Coturnix japonica: one gene and its partners. The protein of the gene in region 3 interacts with the protein of the main gene of each other region in a pairwise test. Links are inferred from orthologs where the notes say so. Each region holds a gene or a part of one and is shown on either strand. Other genes may lie near its edges.

Region 1 (7,330 bases), on a different chromosome or scaffold from region 3:
CCTGAAAGGAGTTGGCTGCCTGCCTGCCCCTGTGGGTGCAACTTCCTGACCTGCTGGACATATTTATATATCAGTGGAGCAAAAAAACATCAAGAAATAAATAGAAATCTTTTCTGAACGCAACGAGAAGTGCCTCTGTTCTTTTGCTCTGGGACAAAATTAACATGGCTGTTTTGCTTCCCCTGCTCTGTTGGCAGCAGACAGCAGTGCTGGTGCTCCCTGTGCCTCTGTCCTCAAGCACACATTAACTCCTTCCCGGTGCTGAGGTGCAGCTGTTGAAGCGCAGACTTAGCAGTGAAAACTGGATGTGCAAACAGCCTGGAAATGCAGTTGCCAGTCATTGTTTTCCAGATGACACGCGCCCAGTTCAAGTGCTTTGTTTATTGGCTGGACTGACCCTGAGCCAACTTTCCTCATGGAACAGTTATTTCCTGCACTAGGAGGGTTGTGTTGCAAATCCTCATCCTTCCAGACCCCATCCCTCTGTCTTGCTGGCTGGAGGGGTGGTTTCTATCTCTTTCCTTCCTTGAAACTGGGTTCAAGGGCAGATCTCCCAGGCTGGTTTCCAGCTTGGAGCAACTGATGTAACACAACCTGCAGCCAGTGTGCAGTGATATGGAGAGGCTGGTGTGAGCTTAGCGTGTTCTGCTAACTGTACATTGGGCACAGGGCAGGGCCCACGAGCCAGGTACACTGCAGCAAGAGCTGCTGGGTCCAGGTATGAGCTGCTGAAATCTTACTGGAGAGCAGAGCAGGATCAGCCCAGCTCTGGCCAGAGAACACACATGGAAAGTAGGAGCAAACAGAGAGACCACTTTACTGGGATGTGCTCAGGCTGCGTGGCTGACAGGGAGCTCAGTTGAGTCTGGCCCCCATTCCCAGGGCTGTCCCTACAGTTCTGGCCCTTGCAGGCTCCTCTGGGCCCTGCAGGCTGTGTGTCCTGCACAGCGATTCCTGCAGAGCTGCAGCACTGTGTTGCATTGGTGTATGAGCCCCCGGTGATGGGGATGATCTCCAGGACATGGTGCTCGTGCTGCTGCTCATCTTTCATTCTCCATCCGGGCAGTGGGGTCAGAGAGCGAGCGGTTCAGCCTGTTCTCTGTGCTCTCCTTGACAGCTGCGTTGCTGCCCTCCACCAACCGCCATATCTCTGCCCACGCCTCATCCAGGTACTGGGATGAGCGGATCCAGCGGAAGAACAAGCCTAGGGGGCAAGGGGCTGTGTCAGCTGGGCTGTGTCAGCTGGGCTGTGTGCTGCTGCAGGAGCGACAGGCAGAGCTACTGCATGCAACCCAGATGGGTTGGGAAAGCCTGAGGTTGAGTTTGAAGCACCATACCCTGCCACAGCTGGATGCTCTGGGGCTCCACCGAGGGCCAGATGACCAGTGGGTTGGGTGAGTACAGGGGGTTCAGGTACTTCTTCCTCTCCTCGGGCTGGTCCAGCCAGGCCCAGAGGGAGTGTGTGCTCTCCTTCACTTTGCACAGACACCTACAGGAGAACAGAGACATGCTTCAGTCCTGGGACTGACCCGGGATGGTGACTGATGGACCCAGGGGTCTGTGCCTGTGGATCAGGGTCTGCTCTGGGGCACAATGGCATCGCTCGTGGGGCACTGCTGTCCCCATGTCCCTGCCACTTGCCTCTCCTTCTCATTGTTGCAGAGGAAAGTGCCGTAGTCGGAGGCGTAGGCGTTGTCAAAGAGGGTGAGGAGCAGCCCCTCACTGAACTCCAGCGAGAAGGGGAACTGCCGGCTCAGCTGCCACACGCAGTCGAGGAAGAGGAGGAAGAGCGGAGCCTCCTGCTTCAGCCGTGCGTGTGAGTAGGCGGAGTGGGCACAGCGCAGATGGAAGGGATGGCCAGCCTGCAGGACCATGTGGTAGCGGTAACAGGGCTGCAGGAGACCACAGGACCCCCACCTCAGCTCCTGCTGCCCCTCACCTGGATCCACTCCCTCTCCAGCAGCCCCTGGAAGCCCTTCAGTGTGCGGCTTTCTGGCTCCAGGATCACCTGTGCCAGCGCTGTCACCAGCAGCGTGGTGTCTGTGCCCTCTGCCCCGTGCACCAGCACGCTGCTCTCCTCCCTGCAGGCACAGCCAAGGCTCAGCCAGCTGCACCCTGTGCATTGGCCTTGGGGTGAGGGGAGGGATGCGCGGCCCCCTACCTGTCCAGGCACTGTGCAGCCAGGCAGGCTGTACTGAGAGCTGCCTTCACGTGGCTCAGCCAGCGGCAGCTCTCCAGCCGGCCCAGCCAGCGGTCCATGCCCAGCGAAGCATCATTGCAGGCCTCCACCAGTTTGATGAAGCTCTCCTGCAGCGGGCGGCCACTGGGCAGGGAGGGAGGAGAAGGGAAGGCAGCGTGGTGAGGGGCTGCGGCTGTGCTGCTGGGGCTGGAGCTGAGTTCAGCACAGCACTCACCGCTCCAGCGGCCGATGCAGCCTCTTCCACTGCGGGTACGAGGATTTGGGCTCCGTGCCCCCTCCCGTCATCCGCGCCTGTTTGGCCGTCTGTGCTGAGCGCGTGTCGATGATGAAGCCCCGCTCGCCCTCGTCCAGCACCGACCCCAGCAGCATCTCATCCTCCGGGCAGCGCTTGCGGTTTGGGCCGGTCAGCGGCTGCGCGCTGCGGAGCATCACCTGCGGGAAGGGGGCTGCGGGCATCGCCTGCGGGCAGCGGGGTGGGAGGAGAGGGAAGGGGGGCGGGATGTGGACTCACGGTGCCGTTCCTGGTGTGGTAGTAGCTGAGGACGGGGAAGCGCCCGCCCTGCCGGAACCGGGCCGCCCTCCGCAGGGTCTCTTCGCTCACAGCCGCCGGCACGATGACGGCCGGAGGGTACGTGGGGCAGATGGAGAAGTCCTGGTTCACGTCGCTCAGCCGCCACTGGGTGGTCTGGGGGGAGATGTGAAGGTGGGAGGGGGGAGCGGCCTCCCCCTGCACCCCAGCCAGGAGTAAAGGACCAATCCCGTCACCCCTTCCCTCTCCTTAAGGGTGGGATGTGACACCCTCCCTCCCCCCCAAGACCAACCTGCGTGGCAATCTGCTGGAAGTGCTGCTCCATGGGCAGCAGCGGCCACCCCTCCTCCAGCCGCAGGGTCTGGGGCCGGTGGAAGAAGGGGTACATCATCATCACGGAGTCCACCGAGGAGAGGGCCTGCAGCACAGCACAGCACAGCACAGCTGGGGGAAGGCCAGGAATGTCCTCCCTGCAAACCCCATCCCCGTTCCTTCTTGCAAGACTTGGCAGCGCGGGTGCCCCATGCAAACACAGCCCGAGCAGCTGAGTGTTTACCCACGTTAATGGCAGACCCAGAGCAAACACCGTGGGCAGCCACCTGAACCCTTTGCAGCCCGGCACGGCTCACCTCGATGGAGCTGGCGATGTTCAGGCACTCCTCCATGCCCGGGATCTCCAGCTGCAGCACCTTCAGGTCCTTGCAGCGCAGTGTGATGGTGCCGGAGGAGCCGGCCAGCCTGGGGAGGGCAGCGGGGTCAGGGCAGGAGGGGCTGCACGTGCAGACAGCACGGAGCTGCCCTCTGTCCGGGGGGGCTGAGAAGGGCACAGCACTGAGCGGGGCTCCCGGTGGATCTCGGTGTGCCTGAAGCTGTGACTCCCACCAGCTCCCCTCTGAGCAGCCATAGCCATCCTCGCCCCACTGAGCTGCGTGGGGCCGGGCACTGCCGGGCAAGATGGAGGAGCTGAGAGCACCTAAAGCCAAACCTGTTGTCCCGCGGGGAGCCGCTGCTGTGGGGGGGCTGATACCAGCCTACATTCTGCACTCTGGGGCACGGAGGAGAAGAGGAGGTCAATGGCCACTGCCACAGGCCATGGGGAAGAGGAGAGAGGAGGCTCTGCGGTGCCGGGAGGGCAGCCGGGAATCACCCCCATCCAGGACGGGACAAAGAGGGGACACAGGGTGGGAAAGGACCGACCTCTTCTCCACGGCGTCCACGTTGCGGATGAGCAGCCAGAGCTCCACGGCGCTGGGCTGCCCGTCGCCGCCGGGGCAGGAGGAGAGCAGCAGGTGGTGGCTGGTGATGCACAGGGTGCCCTTCACCGCCGGCTGCCCCGCACACGACAGCAGCACACTCTCCACCGTGGCCGTTTTGATCAGCTCGGAGAACTCCATGGCGGTGCTGGAGGGAGAAAGGGGAAATCCTGAGCGGCACAGCCCGGCTGGAGCCCCCCCACCCCCCCGTCCCTCCCCGCAGTGCAGCCACCCCCGTCCCGTTCGCGTCGTCACCTAAAGCCGATGCCGCTTCCTCCCTGCTGAGCTGCGCTGGTTTCCTCCCCTCCCCGGCGCTGCTGTCACCGCAGTGGGGAAACTGAGGCAGAGACCCGCGGGGCTCGGGGGGCTGTGGGTGCAGGGACGCCGCGCCCGGTGCGGGCTGGGGGGCACCTGGGGGGGAGTTGGGCCGGCTGCAGCCTCACATCGGCTCCGTTCTGTGGGGCGGGAGGAGGAGGAGGAAGAGGGGAGAAAAAGGAGGAAGAAGGGAGGAGGAGGAGGAGGGGGCGGCTCGCACAGTGCACCCCAACCCCAATACCCACCCCCGCCCATGGATCCACGGCTCCGGGGGGTGACGGGCGGGGGGCACACAGGGGGCACGCGGGGTGCGGGGCTGAGCAGGAACGGAGCCGCTGGGGGGGGGCGGGTTAAGGTGGCCCCGCCGGTGGATGCGGGGCCGGGGAGTGAGTCAGGGGACACGGGGAGGGGTCACACCGGGGGTGCACGCGCGTTTGCAGCCCCGCAACGGGAGCAAGCGGGGCCGTGTGGGGTCAGGGGACGGCAGCGGGGGGCGAGGGGCTCCGGGCCGCCGCACCCACCTTAAGGCCCCGCAGCAGCGCACAGCTGTCCCGCAGCTGCCGGGCGCCCACGGCCCCGCACTCCGCCCCGCGGGCACGTGGAGCTGCTCGTTTCCTTCGCCCTTTTTTTAGCGGCCCCGGACGGGAAGTCGGTGTGTCACGCAGCGAGTGGAGCGGGACGGCTCAGCCCGGCACCGCGTCCCGCGACCGCCCCGCGCTTCATCCGGGAGGACACGGAGCCGCCTCCCAACCGGAGACAGCGGCGCTCAAATAGGAAAGAAAAGGGACATAAAAACAACAACAAAAAGCAACTTCTTTGCACGCCTCTGGATAAGCCGAGTTCCTGCCCGTTATAATTATCCCCAACCTTTATTGTTCCGGGGGTAGATAAATAGGCGGCACTCGGCGCAGCCGTTCCTCGTCCTGCTGGGTGCGCTGGGGTTTGGGATCTGGGAGCTGGGAGCTGCAATTGGAGATTTGGGGTCGTTTGGGGTTTGGGAGCCGGGCTGCAGCCATGGCCCTGGGCCAGGTGAACTTCTCTGAGCTGGGCGCGGAGGAACCGGCTGCAGGTGAGGAGAGCCTGGCTGGGGTCAAGGCGCTCACGGCCAAACTGAAGCTGCAGACCCGCCGCCCTTCGTACCTGGAGTGGGAGGCGCGGGTGCGGGGGCAGCCCTGGGGCAGCCCGACCCCACGGGGGGCGAAGGGGACCTCGGGGCAGCCCGGGGCTGAGCGGGACGGCAGCGTCTGTGGCTTCCCTGGTATGGAGGAGGCTCTGCAGTGGCTGAGGATGGAGCTGGTGAGTAACGCTGAGGGTGAGGGGCACGGAGGGGCGGTGCCTGACCCCACCAGGGCTGCTCCCGCTGCAGCTCACAGCTCTGCTCCCGCTCCAAGCGCGGCCGCTGCTTGTGGGGTTGTGCCCGGGGCTGCAGCTCTGCCCTCCTGCCCTGCCCAGCGCTGCGGGTTGTGGCTCTGCATTTGTCAGCCCTCCCTGCTGCTTTGTGCAGGCAGCAACAGCCTCATGGCTGCAAACCTACCTGGGCAGATCCCAGTCCCTGTGCCCAGCCTGTGCTGCACACGTGGGCTCTGTGTGTATTCCTGATTCCCCGAGGCTCTGGCACCAAGCCCTGCTGTCACAGCAGCCCTGCTGGCTCTGAGCCCCTGCCGACAGCTCCGTTCCCCCCCAGCAGGAGCTGCAGGCTGCGGACCAGCGCCTGGCACAGCAGCTGATGCGCCTGCGGGCGCAGCTGAACCGGCTGAAGGTGGAGCAGGTCTGCCACCGGCACAAGGAGATGCTGGACGACGCCACCTTCGGCCTCGAGGGCTGCGAGGAGGACTCGGATCTGCTCTGCACCATCCCCCCCAAGGCCGCCTTCCTGCTCTCCATGCCGCTCAAGCACATCGGTGTCACCCGCATGAACATCAACTCCCGGCGCTTCTCCCTCTGCTGAGTGCAGCGGGGCCCGGCGGGCACCCATGGGTGCAGCTGGGGGTTGAGAGAGGCTCATAGGTGCCCCAAAGCGCTGCAGGGACATCGGGCTCAGGGCTGAGCTCCATCTTGTTTGTGCTAATGGAGACGTGCCATCCCGTGGGGTGCTGTGTGTGGTGGGGGTCAGCGGCAGGGGAGGATGTGGGGAGCAGCACTTGGAGGAGGAATAAAAGCAGGTGATGGTGAGAAGAAGCACTTCCTGCTGTGCACAACCAGGTGCCTCCTGCAGTGCCACCAACCCCTTGGGGTGCCAGGAGGGGACCCGCTCCCAGCTCTGCCCTGTGGGCTGGTTTCCTCAATGGTTTCTGCTTTGGGATGGATCCACGCTGGGGAAAAAAGGGTCTCTGCTGTGAGGACCCCACTGCCAGCCCCTGCCCACGAACTGACTGCGATGGGTGTTGGGGCTGCGCTGCTGCAGGAAGTGCTCACTGCCAACAGCTGCGTGGGTTGTGGGGCCTGGAGGTTCTGGGGCTGTGCTCAGTGCTCGGCAGCCCCACGCTACCCCATGGCCACCCCCGGTGCTGGAGGCGCTGTGGGCTCTGCCTATGGCTGTCCTTGTTGCAGGGCTTTGCTTTTCCATTCTTAGCCCTTCCCCTGTTCACACCAAACCCTTTGCCCAAGGAGCTGCCACTCTTAGCGTGTGGCAAAACACATTTTGCAAGCACTGCCCCGGGGTGATACGGGGTGACCCAGGAAGTGGTGGGATGGTTCAAGGGACCGTTCTGGGGTACCAGGAGGAAACAGGCAGAGCTGCACGATCCCCTGAGGCAGCAGCACATGGCAGGGGCTGGCAGTGAGCCCTTGCCCAGGGGCACCCATGGTGCTGGGGAACACGCTGGGTGTGGGGCTGAGGAATGTCCCCATAAGGGTGGGTGCAGCGCTCGGTGCCCCCCGGCACAGCTTGGTGGTTCTGCCTGCCCTGCTGCAAAGCAGCTGGTGGGAACCTGCGGCTTTGCCTTTGATGGTGGAAGCCGAGACAATAGCGTTGTGGTTGCTCTGCTCAGAGCTGTCTCTGAAAACACCGGGCTGGTGGTGTGGCACAGCCTG
Region 2 (7,230 bases), on a different chromosome or scaffold from region 3:
ATTCTTGCTTTTTGTGTGGAGTGAATTGTGCAAGCAATAAGACAGTTCTGTAAGGGATTCTGTCTATTGAGCTGTGATGTTCAGGGTCTGCAGGAGAGGACATCTCTCCCTAAATGAGGTAAAGAAATTTTGTATAGGAGCAAAGATTCCTGTATGAAAGAAATGCGTAGGAAAACATCAAAGTGAGCCTCCAAGGAGTAATCAAATAGATAAAGAATACAGAAATTTTCATTTAAAGACATTTGAAAAGTCCTGCAGCAAAACTCATGCATGAGGATGTAAAAAATTTGTATGCAGAGAACTGGTATGGACAGGATACTGAGATGTGGTAGGGCTCTGACTGTGCAGTTGAGCTAATGAGAGGTAACCCTAAATGGAAGGACTCAATCAGAAACATCTTAATTCCACATACATATACATACATACATACATACATACATATATATATATATACACACACACACACACACACACATTCTCTCACACAGTAGCTGAGTGGGTGGGAGTAAGAACTTGGCATTATGAGTGAGGTGGGAGACGAGTTTAGGCCAGCTCTCTGGGTGCTGGGCTGTCTGTGATAAATTGGGATTTGCTAGTTATGCCTTGACTCGCTGCATGGCTTTTGGCCAGTCACTTATATTCTCCAGCCAAAGCTACCTTGCTCCAAAGTGATGTTACTAATGTATCACCTGACTCCCTCTAAGGCAAGTCTTTTTGAACATTAGCTTCAATAGTGTGAAAAAAAGTCTTTGAACACAGTGTGTATCATTATACACCCACAGCTTAAAGGCTTTGTAGCTTGTTTTTGAACCTGCTATTTCATAGATGCTAATCGTACATTCAGCAAAGCCACAAAGGAAATCTCCCACTCCTGTATGTGTGTAGATGGAGATGATTTTCGTTGCTTTATAAGAAATGAAAATAACTGAACTATGCATATCTGCACTGAATAAATTGTAGTGAGAAACTTTGGCTACAAACTTGGCCAGTCACAGTAGCACACAGCCCCAAAATTCTCTGAGCAGAGGAAGAAGAGTCGCTGATACATGGCTGTGTGTGGGTTTTCTTCAGAGTCACAGAGTCAGTGCCCTGCCTTTTGTGTCTTTTTTTTTTTCTCTCTCTCTTTTTTTTTTTTTTCCCCACTGTCTGAAATCTGGGTCTTAGTAAGAAGACTCACAATGGCAGCAGTAAAATAAACCCAAATTTGTTTTTTGTTGTAAGGGATTTATTGTAAATGCTCCCTGCACTTTGAATATACTAAATCTGCTGAGGTTCTACTGTCATGAAGAAAATTTTGGGTTCTGGCTTTACACAGACCCCACAGTGAAAGAGCAGGTACAGCCAGACCATGCACTGTCATACAGGGACACACCAGTGTGCACTTGGAGAAGTCCTGGCTGCTCTTACTTTTCAGTTTTTAGCTAGCAGAAAAGATTTGTAACCTACTCTAGGGAACCTGCTTTGTCAGGGTTTTGGACTAGCTGATCTCCAGAGGTACCTTCCAATCTCTGTGATTAAGTGGGACTGGGTGTCCCAGCCACAAAGGCAGTGCAGAGAAAGAGGATGAACAATTTTTGGTGAGAGGTGTTTGCTGTATTTCCTTTGTACATGATCCCATAGTTTTGTCCACAGTCACCATCCCTGGAAGTGTTCAAGAAACATTTAGATGTTGTACTGAGGGACATGGTTTAGTGGGAAAATATTAGTGCTAGGTGAACAGCTGGACCGGATAATCTTGGAGGTCTTTTCCAACCTTGGTGATTCTATGATTCTGTGGTATTTAGGCTATGCTGGTGCTAATGCATCTCTTTCCAGACGTGGGGATGGGATAAAAATCCTGTCAGAATTCTTTGATGCAACTCCTGAGCTGGTCAGAAGACTGCTAAGGACTACAGGTTCCTTCCAGCTGTTGAGATTTTCCCTATGTGTAGCCTGGGAAGCTGCCACTGCTGAGAAGAGGGTCTCTGTGCCAGTGGAGAATGCTGGTAGATGCTAGGTAGTTGTGAAAATGCTAGGCAGCCTGAGGAAGTACGTTTTGAACCATCATGGGGAGGGAGGCTCTGCAGAAGAGAATCACAGAACATCTATCTAGAATTGGAATGGGCCCACAAGGATTATCATGTTCCAACTCCTGGTTTTACACAGGATGGCCCAAAAGTTGGACTTGACTGCAGCAGCTCCTGTTCTCCTACATTTATAAAACTGGACACACAGGAGAATGATTGAGGAGGCTCTGAGCCTGGGGGGATATTGGCCTTCAACTGATTCAATCACAAGACCTTGTTCCCCTCCCTGCTTGTTTAAATGTGATCATTTACCATGTGAGGAGATGGAGTATCAAATATCAGAGCCATTTGAAAACTGATGGCATCATCTGACACATCGTGACAAATCATTAGAGCAGTAGTAGTGAGTTTGCTGAAGGAGTCTGTGCTATAACCTACTGCACACAAACTTCAAAATCTATAAATGCTCCTGAAAGTAGCTTTTCAGATGCTACTCCTTTACATCAAGCACTGGCAGTAGTAATAAATCCTTCTCTTATGCTACTCTGCTTCTGTGTCATGGCTTGGACCAGAATAATCAAATGTTAGTGAAATAGCATGCAGCTCTCATCTTGGCCTTAAGTTAGATTAAGAAAAGTAGATTAAGTTAGAAAAAATAGATTAGCATGATAAGTACATATTCCTTTTCCTTCTGATGTCGCTCCTCTGCTTCCTTCATCATTTCCTGAGACTGCTCCAACTTGGCATCCACCAATTTCTGTTGAAGTTCTCTGTGCTTAAATATTTTGTCAAGGTGCTGCAAGAGAATAGATTCTGCTGAATGTGCACGTTTAGTTATGTACACAGACACTCATGCTCATGCATGCACAGCTATCTACTGGGACACAAAAATATTGCAAAACAGGAAGTTTCCCAACCCACTGCAGCTATGAAAAAGCCATGGTGCTGATAAGAACAAACTGTGCCAGAATTTGCATAGGAAAAGAAATGTGTTTACATCATCTATTTTGATGTGTAACCAGCCCCCCAAAACAAACAAACAAACAAAAAACAACAACAAAACCAACAACAGCAAACCCTCAGCATCTTTTCCAGTTCCACGATACGCATATAAAGTCATCTGTATAATCCAGTATAATTGTAGATCATAAAACTGCCCATCAATTAGAAACATGTGGGGGAAGCACTGTTTTTGGAGCTGCAAAGTAGCCTGTGGTTCTAAGCCACTGCGTGGGTAAATGTGTGATGACAGATTGCACCTCCAGTGCTGAGGGAGTGTGTGTGCAGCTCCTCCTGTATATATATGTCTAGTACATCCCATTGGATCTGGCCTCACATGGATAATGTGGGCCTGGAGTGCTTGGGTAAATGAGAGGGGAAGTGGGACAGATGAGGTCTCCTATGGCCTGTAAAACTTCTGGCTCCAGTGACTTTCAGGAAGTGAGTACTGCTGATATCACTCTTCACTGCTGCAGCATTTAGATAGAGCTCAATATTCTGAGCACATCCTTCTGCTTTACATTTTCCTTTCATAGAAACCACAAGACAGGAATGTACGTTCCCTTCTTTCAGCGCAAGACTTCATACAAGATGCAACAGATTTAGAAATTAGTGTATTGTATCAGGCATTCCAGATTGTGAGGACAGGTTACTCATGTTTTATTCAGTGTGATAATGTTGTCTGGTTTCACTGAGCCACACAATAAGCACATTTGGAAACAATAAAAAGACCCACTGCAATATGTGCTAGTGTTTGTCATTAAACCACCACAGAAATGGGAGCTTGGGAATTTTCCAGAGGGCTTTTGGTGTTAAAATTTCCTGAACTGCTCTAATGTTTATATTTAAAGATGTAATTTTCAATTCATCTATTGTCGATTTTACTGTAAATGTTATTCCTGCAAAGAAGAGTCTGTTCCAATGCAAAGGACCCGCTTTACCTTTGTTATTAGCTTTGTTTCTGGGGAATGGTCACCTCAGCAACCTGTGTCTGGGGGGATCAGAAATATATCTGGCTGTGGGCCGGGCTGTCCAAAAAGGTAGAACTGAGAGGTGCTTTATGAGCACTCTGGGGTCCTTTGGGACTAGGAGAGCAGCAAGTGAATGGGGGTAGAGATTAGCAGGCAGCTTTCCCATCTTGCTACATGGGAACCTCAGTCCCTTTTCCCACCACCATTATAACTGCCATGAGTACTGCATGCAGGGTGCCATCAGGTCAGCTTTTCACCCACATATTCCATGTGGCATCCTGCTGGCTCGATGCATACAGGCCCCCAACTGGACAGCAAAGCACAGCAGAAGCTACCCATGAGATGCCCAAACGATAGTCAGTGGGGATGACATGTTCACAGTGCTTTCCACTTCCCTCCATGGATCTGGGTTTGCTGCTGGTCCCTATGGGCATTGCAGTGCTCACCTCTTCCCGCAGCTCGTACTGGTCAATAATGCTTTTCAGCTTCTCTGCCAGCTCTGTGTTCTCCTGGCAGAGCTTCATGTTCCTCTCACTTTGCTGCTCAATCTGAGCCTGTATTTCACTCAGCGTGCCCTGGAAATGATTTGTTATTTCTTTCCTCTTCTCATCTTCCTCCCGTGCCCGCTGAATTGTTTCCTCCTGAAGTTAAGTAGAGTAAGAAGACAGTAGGGTAAATAAGATGCATAACACAAGTGGTTCTGAAAAGCTGTTTCAGAGTAGCACAAGGCTACTCTTTGAAGGATTATCTGTGTCTGTATTCCCCTTCAGAGATTTTCTTGCTTTCATGTGCTCCAACATTAGGCATGATGCTGAATTATGAGAGCAAATTATACAGTGGTCTTGAAAAAATTACATAACTACGAATTTGCATGTATAAAGATGGATGTAAAGCAGAATTTCAGATCAAAGTAATCCCTGAAAAGGGGATGTTCATGCATGCCTTAGTTCATGAAACTGCAGCACAGCTTTTGCTTTGGAATAAGATATTTAGTGCAAGTCGTTGAAAACCCTTTTATCAAATTTCTTTTTGATTTATTTTAAAATCCACTCTTTTAAAATGCCTCCTTTTAACTAGAAATCTTCATATCAAATTTATGGAATTTGAGATTTCCACTTTTAAAGAGGGATTATTTTCTGTAGAATCCCTTTGCATTCCACAAGTTTCCTTCCCTTTCCTTCTAATTGACAGATATTGGGATGGGGGTAGAAACGAGGAAAGCTCATGGGCTGGCTCTCAAAGAATCAAAGCAGAGAATCAGAACCTGGCTTGAAGAAAGATTGATGGATTATGTTTTCACCAGTTATTGCAATTCTGTTTTGGATTTTGTTTTATTTATGGAAGGGATTGGGGAAATAATTTAGATCCATTGCTTTCAATCAAGAAGTATGGACAACTTTATTTCCCTCTTGTTTACTTCCAGGGCAGCCTGCCCTGATGGTGAATGCCATCCTCATACTAAATACCTAGTATCATATCTACTGTTGTTACAAATCATGCCAGAACCATTTTAAGAAATCTCTCCACAGCATGCAAATGGCATGCATACTCTAATAAAGCTTCAACTATTTCAACTATTCATTTACATAAAAACCTCTGATAACACTGCATATGCATATTTTCTGTAAATATATCTGAATAAAGCTTTTGCTGACTCGAATGAGGTATAATTCATATCATAAATGTGACAGAAAGGGTGTTGATTCAGGTCCTATTCTTAAACTAAGCTGAATACCAAGTGCCCCAGCTCTACTTAGCATGCAAATCACAAGACTGATCTTGAACAACTGCTGCTCAAGGTAGAGGACGTTTGTCCTTTTGCTGCCAGAATGTTATAGAGATGACAAAGCCTTGGATGACAGGAGGAAAACTGCTGGAGCCATCTGTTAATGATACAGTAATGGGCAGAAATCACTCTGAAATTGTGTTTGTGCTGTGAACTTTGCACAAGAAAATGTGTGTGTGCTCACAAACAGAATAGAACAAAGTGTGACTCCAGAAGGGCTTCCACTCAGAAGAGGTGGAATTACAGAGGGAGCTGGGCAGTGGTTCGGATATAAGGGATTCCTGCTTCAGAACCTGGAGTCAAAATTGAACACAAAAACTTGAGCTCCTTCATAGATTTAGTTAAATCAGAAGTTCATTTTACCTCTCATTTGCTGATTAAAAACTGTTCATGTCTCTTTCTTCTCCATGGCATAGATGCAGCCCTGAGCAGGGAGAAGAGCAACAAGGTGCCCTCACTTCAGGAAAGTCAAAGACAGACTGAGAAACTAAACTTGTATGTCTGGAATCTTATTTCCATTGCTTTGAAACACCCTTCCTCAAACATATTTTTTTCTGTTTTAATGGACCAAAGAGTGTCATAGCATAATATCATTGCTGTGATTTAAATCTCACTGGAGTAATAAATGAAGCTGAATATAAAATGAAAAACTGGTGTTTTGCACTGAAGTCACACTGAACAGCTCTGGTATGAGGTGAAATTAGATGTCTTGGAAGTAGCAATCATGCAAATCCACATATATATATATATATATATATATTTTTAAGAAAAGGGAACGTGTTACAGAGGATCTTGCATCTTGCTCATCCTTCCTTCTGAGCTGAATAATTACAGAGAACACATGCAGAATGCAAAAATTCGTGGTTAAGGATACCAAAAACCAAGAAACCTTTTGATGCACAGCAGAATATTTATCTTGACCTCTTCTCCTTTGGAGAACAAGCCAAAAGATATCTGTCTGTGGGAACTAGGGTATGCCCCAGAAGGCTCCTCAGAGTCCCTGTGCCAGGGGTTCTCTGTGCCTGATGCTGTGCTATATCACTGAGCCACCTGCAACACTACCACTCCTGTCTGACTCTAGACTCCATGTTACCCTAAGGTAATATGGGTTCAGTCTCAAAAGTCTGCTCCTCTTCACTTCCTCACCTGGGTAGGCACAGTCTGACAGCCTCAAGCCATCAGCATCACCCAGACTACTATCAGAAAGCTCCAGCTCCAACTCTTTCTTTAGACCTGGCCCCATAATGTGGCCCTTTTTTTCCAGTAAGTGCCTTAATCTCTCCCATTTCAAGACCCCACACTGTAAATAAGTTCCTTTAAAAGTAAGTTTGTCCCCATCCTGCAGGACTGAAGACTGTCCTCATTTCTGTGTTACTGCTGTTACAGCCCTAGTAGCTGTGTAGAGCCAAGTGCCCCTGCCTCGCCTGCTTGTGGGAGCAGAGCCGAGTGTGTTTGGGGCAGTGAGTTC
Region 3 (7,330 bases):
TGTGTGGGTGAACCTACATCTTTTCCTGATCAATTTAACTCTCCTTGGGGAAGAATTAGCTGTATTCACTGGTTAAGTTAACTCAGAACATAAGGGAATAAAGGGACAACGTGGCTTGTATATCCAGCTAACAAAACATTACATGCAATACCTCCAGGTCTAGTGAACGTAATCACAGCTGTTCTGGACCTCTTGTCATATCTTATATTTTCTACTACTCCTCCTCCGTATTCAGATTTGTAGAAATTCAGCTCTAATTTGTCTTTCATCCATTCATCAGGAATTGGCAGCTCAGGGATTTCCGAAACATTGATCTTCTTTCCAGAAATTGTGATGTGGAGCTAAAGAAATAATTGTTGTGCATTTTGTGATCGAGAACACCCACAAAACCAAACCTAAAGCTTCTTAAGTACTGCAAGTGTGTATCTTTGTCATTTCATAGTTCAGCTGATTACCTCAAATTTGACTCCCAGTCCAACTGTAAAAGGCACCACTTTCACATCTGCTGTAGTTCCATCCAGGTTCACAGTATGCTTACCCATTTTTGTCAGTCTCTGGGCAACTAAGGAAAAATCACAAGGTTACAGGTAAGAAAAGCCTTGTTTCATCACTGTAACTTGACAACCTGTCAGTCTCTTAAGCAAAATCTCCTTTCATGTTGTTAAAGGAGAAATAACTGACAGTTAGGCAACCATATCTAACTGCCCACAACTTCAGGCATATCTGCTGCTGTTCAATCTCACTAGCTATAGGCAACAGCTAAAACACCATACTGTCTCTAGAATAAAAGATACTGTCAAAGGATGCTCTCACTGTATGAAATATCAATACTGGACTTTTGGTATTTTATTTCAAAAACCCACAGATAAAAACACATCACTACCAGCAGTGGAGAATGCCCACTAAGGCTGTTAGATTTTAGCTGAAATAATGGATCAGATGTATCTGCAGTATACATGCATAATGGAGTCACCCATTATGGTAATGAAATACATCAGCCGTTCATTTTATACTTCAAATATGCATCATACCTTCTTCATCTTCCAAAGTAAGCAGTGCTCGGTTTTGGTTCAGTTTGAATGGGATTCTTGTTGTTACAGAAAAAACGCAGTGGGTGTTCATATCCAGAATGTCACCCTCTGTGTCTTCCATGCGAGTGAACTCCACTTTCATTTCTGCCACCCTTTTTTTAATCTAGTATTTTAGAATCAAGATAGAGAACAAACTTCATGTAATTTAATTTACAACAGGAAGTTGTAAAGTAAGTATGAGAGTCATCGCTATCGTTTCTTTTTACTTACTTGCATTATTGTTCTACAGCAATGGTGAATCTGTTCATAAATTACCTTGCATATTACCATCGTAGTAAAACAGAAGTATTTTATAATGAGAGTAGGTAAGAGTACTCATGAAAACATTGGTTAGGAAAGCCTACTTTAATAGATACCAGGGAGTTTCAGATGCGTCTCTTTCCCCTTTTGAAACTGTTTCAAAATAAAAGGAAAATACTGTTTTCCTCCAAGACAAAACAGCCTGAGCAATAAAAGCATTTCTGTCACCTATCTTCAAAACCAGCATCTTAACTCAGAGCTTGTTCTCTTTCTGTTCTCACTACTGCCAAAGGACTCATTCTTTCTGCCATCCTCACACCCAAGGAATACTAAATGTGAGCACTTGAAAATTAATAGCAATACTACGTGCATTTTTTACTCCAATGTCTTCCACTTAATTTATTTTCTACTTTTCTTCACTTTTCTCACTCATCAGTATCTCACACACTCATATTTGTTTCCATATCCTTAGTCTTTTTCACATTTTCTTGCCAAATAAAGTAAGAAAATAAAGCATCAAGCTGTACTTTATACTGAAATCAGTTGAGCTTTAAATGCTAAACCAGGCTGGATGTGGCTCTGGGCAGCCTGGTCTGGTGTTTGGTGACCTTGCACATAGCAGAGGGTTGAAACCAGATGATCATTGCGGTCCTTTTCAACCCAGGTCATTCTATGACTGTAAACAGCTGACCTCAACAGTCTAGAATTGACCAAAAATGTGTCCTTCTAAAATAATAACTGTAAAATATTGCAAGCATTACCTTACCATCCTGCGAGAGCGCTGAACAACATTCTGCAAGCTCTTCTTTGAGCTTCTCAATGTCTCTCTTCAGCTCAGAATTATCGTGGTCTAGCACACAAAGCTCTGTCTACAGCCCAAAAAGTATTAAATGCAAAATTAAACATACAGGAGATAGAAGTACGTTTCAGCAAAATCTGTAGATATTAGAAAGTGTTTCAGCTTTCAAATATTACCACCAAGCATGAGGCATTTTTCCATAACTTTACCTATCTGCAAGGCAAATGCACTCACCAAGGAGCAGTTTCAATCAAAGCAAATTACAGTAAGGACTTTCAAACAGAGTGTTGGTTTTTCCAAGGATATACTGCATACAATAAGTCACCCAGCTTGCAATATGGAAGCATAACTTGCTCATCAGTGGCTCTCAGGCTAAACAAAATGACACAGAAACCAGCTCTTTTACAGCCTGTGGAAAACTCTTTTGCTGTACTGACGACTTCACAGCACTCTGAGGTAATGAACCAATTTGTTCCAGAAAGAAGAGCCATCTTCAGACCGCGTTTGGCCTTTGCCCAGCTTACTGTCACTTAAGAAATGCCAATCCCTTGGGTGCTGTAACCTCGTCTAGGAGGTGCTGGGATTTAATGAAGCAATGGAAACAACCCATTCAGTCCCATTCAATTCTATCTTCATCACACAAAGCTGAAATATATCAGTTAGAGGAGAATCTTGGAAGACTGTTTTTTATCTTCATTTTCCACATAAGATCAGTCTCAGTTTCTCATTCCTGTAAGACTTATTTAATCGCACCAGTTCTTCATCTGACATTGAAAACCCATGTTTAAAATATTAGTCCCACAGTCTGCAAACTGGTAAAGCTATTTCAACTGGAATGGAAATATTACCTTCCCTAACCAATACTTCCCCCACAATTCCACCAATACTGACAGTCACGAGTAAGCCTTCTCCATACCTCATAGACGGCCTTAGACATGCCACTCTCTTTATTAAGTTTCTCTTGAGCATCCTTTAGCTCTGTCAGCTCATGCTGTATTTTCACATATTCTTCATTAGCAGTTGATATGCTATGTTGAAGGTCGGTTTTTGTTTTCTCAGCTTGTTCAAATCTTTCCTGGATGGTAAAAAGACTTTCAGATTTTCTATCTCCACAAGAACAAACAAAACCTTAGGGAAACCCTTTACTTGTGCTTAGTTTTAATGCTTTGGATAAATATTTCTCTTAGACTTGCAAGTGTAGCCACCACTGAGGTTAACGTAGGCATATAGCATTAAAGAACAGAGAGCATGTTAGACAAACATCTATTATGATGGGAGGGGAGTGGATTTAGATGTAGAAGAGCAGATTAATGCCCTTCCAGGTATCTTCCATCTAATTTCCACACACTTTGTAGAACTTGCCTTCCATTTCTCCAGTTCCTGTTTAAGACTTTCCATCTCTTCTGATGTGTCAGGAAGGTCAGCGGTTGTCACATGCTGTAGAGAAAAGACACACTGAGTTTTATTTCCCAGTTAGAGAATCATTGAAGTACTTCATAACCAAAGGTTCCTGTAAAACCTAGTACAAACTTAGTACAAAATGAACTACTTTCATGGCTGGACAGGACCAAAATCTAAGCAAATGGAAACTGGTCCATGCTCATTATTTTCTAACTATCCAGCTGGAAGCACTCACAGGTTGGTATGTTAATAAACCATAAAAGCAAGTGGCCTCTGTGTTCTTCTACTGAGAACTGAGCCCCCGAGTCCCACCGAGGTTTATCTGTAGGCTTTCTCAGCAGCTCCTCTAAGAGGGTGTATAGAGCCTGAAGAGAAGAAAGAGACTACAGAATGGGATGTTTCTAAGCTCGGTTAGATAAGGAATGGTAATATCAGGTGAGAGAAAGGCAACAGAAGAACTTCAGACTGCGAGCATGGCAGGGCAGAAGTTCACAAGCACAGGGAAGTGACAACTGGATAAAGCTCAAGAAGAGAGAAAATCTCTGTTCTGTTTTGTTTCTATGACTGCAATATTCTGCAAGGGGGAAAAAAAAAAAGAGAGAAAAAAAATCCAAAGAGACCTCGTGAAGCAATCCCTCCCTTTTACTTCAGATTACATAAAACTTGAATGTGAACCATGAAACTCAGGCTTGGAAAAGGCCTGTCAGATTATCTGGTTAATTCTCTTGATAATTCTGGGTTTTTCCTAAAAACAATAACATATAAAATATTTTTCCTCAACTACTTTGTCCAGTTTCAAAGTCCTGTTAAGCAACAGGGAAACCCCCATCTGCGTATCACTGAAAACCAGCAAATATTCCTTCACTCGTGGGAGTGAATGCAGGAAAGCAGAACGATGCACGTGCTGCAGCTGGAGCCTGATAAGAAAGGATGCCTGCTTGGTAGGGAAAATGCACTAAGGCAGCAATATTCAACCTGAAGGGAAAAAAAACAACAGGAAAACACAAGAAATCCAGGATTGGACTCTCCTATGGAGACAGAAGGCAGGCAGGAAAGGAAGCACAAGGCCAGGCCCTAATGCAGTGCAAGGTGCAGAGCTGGTGCAACGTCACCTGGAAGTGAAGGTGTGATTAAAGGAGGTGGATGAGGAATGCCCCGAGTACTGAAGGGTGGAATGCAGTGGGACAGGGGTTTGAGGAGCACTGTCCCAGCACTCCAAGCACAAATCTGCACTCCGAGAAACCAAATACAGAGCATCAGGAGCTACTCACCAAACCATTATCTCCCGAAGAATACGGTGGGTTTGTTGAATCCATTGCAACCTGAGGGGAAAAAAATGACAAAGTTATGCCTTATAGCTCTAAATGTGGCAAACAGCTCTGAATGAAATACCATATAATGAGCCAACATCGTCTAAAAGAAAGGAATTAGATGCAACAATGATATATATAGGGAGCTTCATGAGCCCCCCGGCCCCACACAGCGCTACCTGCGGATCTCCCGTCGGGATGGCTCTCCCTCCCCCCTTCCCTCCCACAGCCGCCGGCTTCTGCTTTCGCTTTCCCTACTGCTGGAGGAGGAGCCGGAGGTTCCCCAGCTGCTGCGGGCTGTGGTGTCACCGCTCCCCTTCCTCGAAATCACGTGAAGGAAGGAAGGTGGTTCCTCCATCCTCCTCCTCCTCCTCCATCCTCCTCCTCCATCTGCGCGGCGCTGAGCTGCCGGGGCAGGAGACGGAGGGGAGCTGGTGGGCACTCTTGGCTGGGAGCTCATGGCTCAGCCTGTGGGTTTTCCTTTGTGTCTTCAGGCTGGTTTTGCTGGATTTGGTCATTCTAAAGCGCTCTGGAAACAACTTTGTGTTCTAAAGAACAGGTTGCTGGGAAGTGGTAAAAGGCATCAGCGGTTGGTGACAATCAATTGCTGATAGAAGTGCTGCACTGTAATAAACAACTGCTGGAAAACACAAATCTCTGAAAACTGAGAGGTGGGCGATGGCCATGAGCAGCTCCTTGGGGCTGAGGCTGCCCGCCATCTTGGGGACCGCCCGCCATCTTGGGGACCACCTGCCATCTTGGGTCCAAAGTCCATTGGGGTGGCTGCCCTCTCTTATCAATCAGATAAGCACAGTTGCTTTATGAACCTTTCACTATATAAATATTCCATGAGCACAGAAGTGCTCAGTGACTGATGCATTTGGAATGGGGCAACAAAGATGGATAGTCTATAACCAAGCCAACTACGTGGGGTGGGTTGGACTTTTCCAGCCTTAACTGTTCTGTGATTCTAACTGTACTTGCACAGCACTGGGTAGAGGAGAGCTTCAGCACACATGGAAATCAGCTTTGAGAAGCCAGAAAATGTGGGCTGCTGTGAATTATCTTAGCAGATGTTCACTGTCTCAGCCAATGGGCACTCATTCTCTAAAAAGACCTCACGGAGTATCTTTTTTAGGTAAAAATAAATAAAATGGGGTAGATTTCCATGATTATAAACTTGAAGTAGAGAAAGCTCTGTCTCTTCCTTTACAAGGACTATAGAAGCCTAGGTTTCCTGAGCGATCCTTCTTTACGTAGTATGTAAAGGAAAGGATCTCACATGGATCCTGAGATGCGTACAACTGACTTCATTCTGCAGATGACGTTGGTGGGACAGGCTGAACTCATGGTGGGAGCTGTGCGAAGTGTGTGTGCTTAAACATGGAGAAGTGAAAGAAAAGAGAACCACAGTTGTCTTTCATCAGCTCTTGGATTCAGGAGCAGACTGTGTCCAAGACTGTAGCCAGGCAGTCAGACACCGATGGAGTTTGAGACGGTTAATGTCCATTTAGATACACATAGCAGATGAGCTGCAGTCATGAACAAAATCTGGGGAATGTCTGTGTCCTAGGCCAAAAAAAAATGAGGGAAAAAGCATGTCAAGATTCCTTGAAGGCTGAGCTGAATAACCTTTTGAATGGTACCCCCAAAGCTGCAACCAGACTTTGTTCATTGGCCGGAATAGTTTGCATAGTTAGCAGTCAGTTGGTGCTGACTGCTGAAGTTAATTAGTTTTCAGAATTTCAACTTATGCCAAATCGATGGATAAAGAGTTAGCGGTCACCTTGTGCCACCAAATTCAGAAGGAGCTCTACCCATAGGGAAATTATTATGACAGTTTCAAATGTTCTTATCTGATCAGCGGATGAAACTGTGACCCTGTATTATTTTTTTTTTTTTTGTAATTATTTTTCTGCCTTGACAATGGATAACTGTTTACTATTGCTTTGTAAACACAATGTTGGTTACTAATGAGATGAGTAAAAGGGAGAGGTTTAGCTGGAGTAGCCAGGGAGGAGGAGGAGGTGATTATGTTATGACCTAAGTACATCAGATTTCAGAATTAAATGTCAGGGTGGCAGGCTGTTCTCCAGTAACCATAATCATGATGGGAAGTCACCATGGATCTGAAAAAGCCTCCTTTCTCTTAAACTCCAGGGAATGCAGCAAAGCCAATCTGTTTACATGGCCTGCTTTGGGATTTGCACTGAACAATGTGTTTGTGCTTGTTTTGGGAAGGAGATACTGGACTGGAGCAAGTGCCTTAACTCTGGAGTTGACTTCGAGTTTGTTTGTTAGCTGATTTTCTATGAATTCAGTGTTAACCACATATGAATCAATGTAATGGGAAAAGCGTTGATTTCATAACTCTGAAGAATCTAGCTAAAGGGGAATATCAAGGAGTACAACGTAGTATAGAGTATGAGAAGCTTTAAAACTCTTGGGATTTCTGTGAGCAGACTGCATTGATACCAGACTTGTTCTTT

The links.
Region 1: the proteins of NMI (region 3) and myotubularin-related protein 9-like interact in binary tests that used the Homo sapiens proteins (3 or more experiments, as listed by UniProt). The two-hybrid records come from large-scale screens. The link is inferred for Coturnix japonica from reciprocal best matches to the Homo sapiens genes NMI and MTMR9.
Region 2: the proteins of NMI (region 3) and TXLNB interact in binary tests that used the Homo sapiens proteins (3 or more experiments, as listed by UniProt). The two-hybrid records come from large-scale screens. The link is inferred for Coturnix japonica from reciprocal best matches to the Homo sapiens genes NMI and TXLNB.

What each region holds. Positions count from the first base shown.
Region 1 is NC_029538.1:4,519,832-4,527,161, reverse strand, and holds myotubularin-related protein 9-like, read right to left. Parts: upstream 4,928-7,330; 5' UTR 4,819-4,927; intron 4,438-4,818; 5' UTR 4,238-4,437; intron 4,131-4,237; 5' UTR 4,124-4,130; coding exon 3,927-4,123; intron 3,775-3,926; coding exon 3,715-3,774; intron 3,468-3,714; coding exon 3,359-3,467; intron 3,148-3,358; coding exon 3,022-3,147; intron 2,886-3,021; coding exon 2,712-2,885; intron 2,633-2,711; coding exon 2,415-2,632; intron 2,324-2,414; coding exon 2,162-2,323; intron 2,082-2,161; coding exon 1,940-2,081; intron 1,863-1,939; coding exon 1,642-1,862; intron 1,490-1,641; coding exon 1,338-1,489; intron 1,205-1,337; coding exon 1,041-1,204; 3' UTR 793-1,040; downstream 1-792. Other genes in the region: protein FAM167B, read left to right, coding at 5,312-5,593, 5,982-6,245. UniProt on the Homo sapiens protein: Acts as an adapter for myotubularin-related phosphatases. Increases lipid phosphatase MTMR6 catalytic activity, specifically towards phosphatidylinositol 3,5-bisphosphate and MTMR6 binding affinity for phosphorylated phosphatidylinositols.
Region 2 is NC_029518.1:48,840,029-48,847,258, reverse strand, and holds part of TXLNB (beta-taxilin), read right to left. Parts: intron 4,618-7,230; coding exon 4,423-4,617; intron 2,803-4,422; coding exon 2,683-2,802; intron 1-2,682. UniProt on the Homo sapiens protein: Promotes motor nerve regeneration. May be involved in intracellular vesicle traffic.
Region 3 is NC_029522.1:30,821,819-30,829,148, reverse strand, and holds the start of NMI (N-myc-interactor), read right to left. Parts: upstream 5,155-7,330; 5' UTR 5,021-5,154; exon of another isoform or gene 5,018-5,020; intron 4,854-5,017; 5' UTR 4,848-4,853; coding exon 4,803-4,847; intron 3,568-4,802; coding exon 3,493-3,567; intron 3,206-3,492; coding exon 3,047-3,205; intron 2,201-3,046; coding exon 2,093-2,200; intron 1,195-2,092; coding exon 1,032-1,194; intron 563-1,031; coding exon 456-562; intron 342-455; coding exon 152-341; intron 1-151. UniProt on the Homo sapiens protein: Acts as a signaling pathway regulator involved in innate immune system response.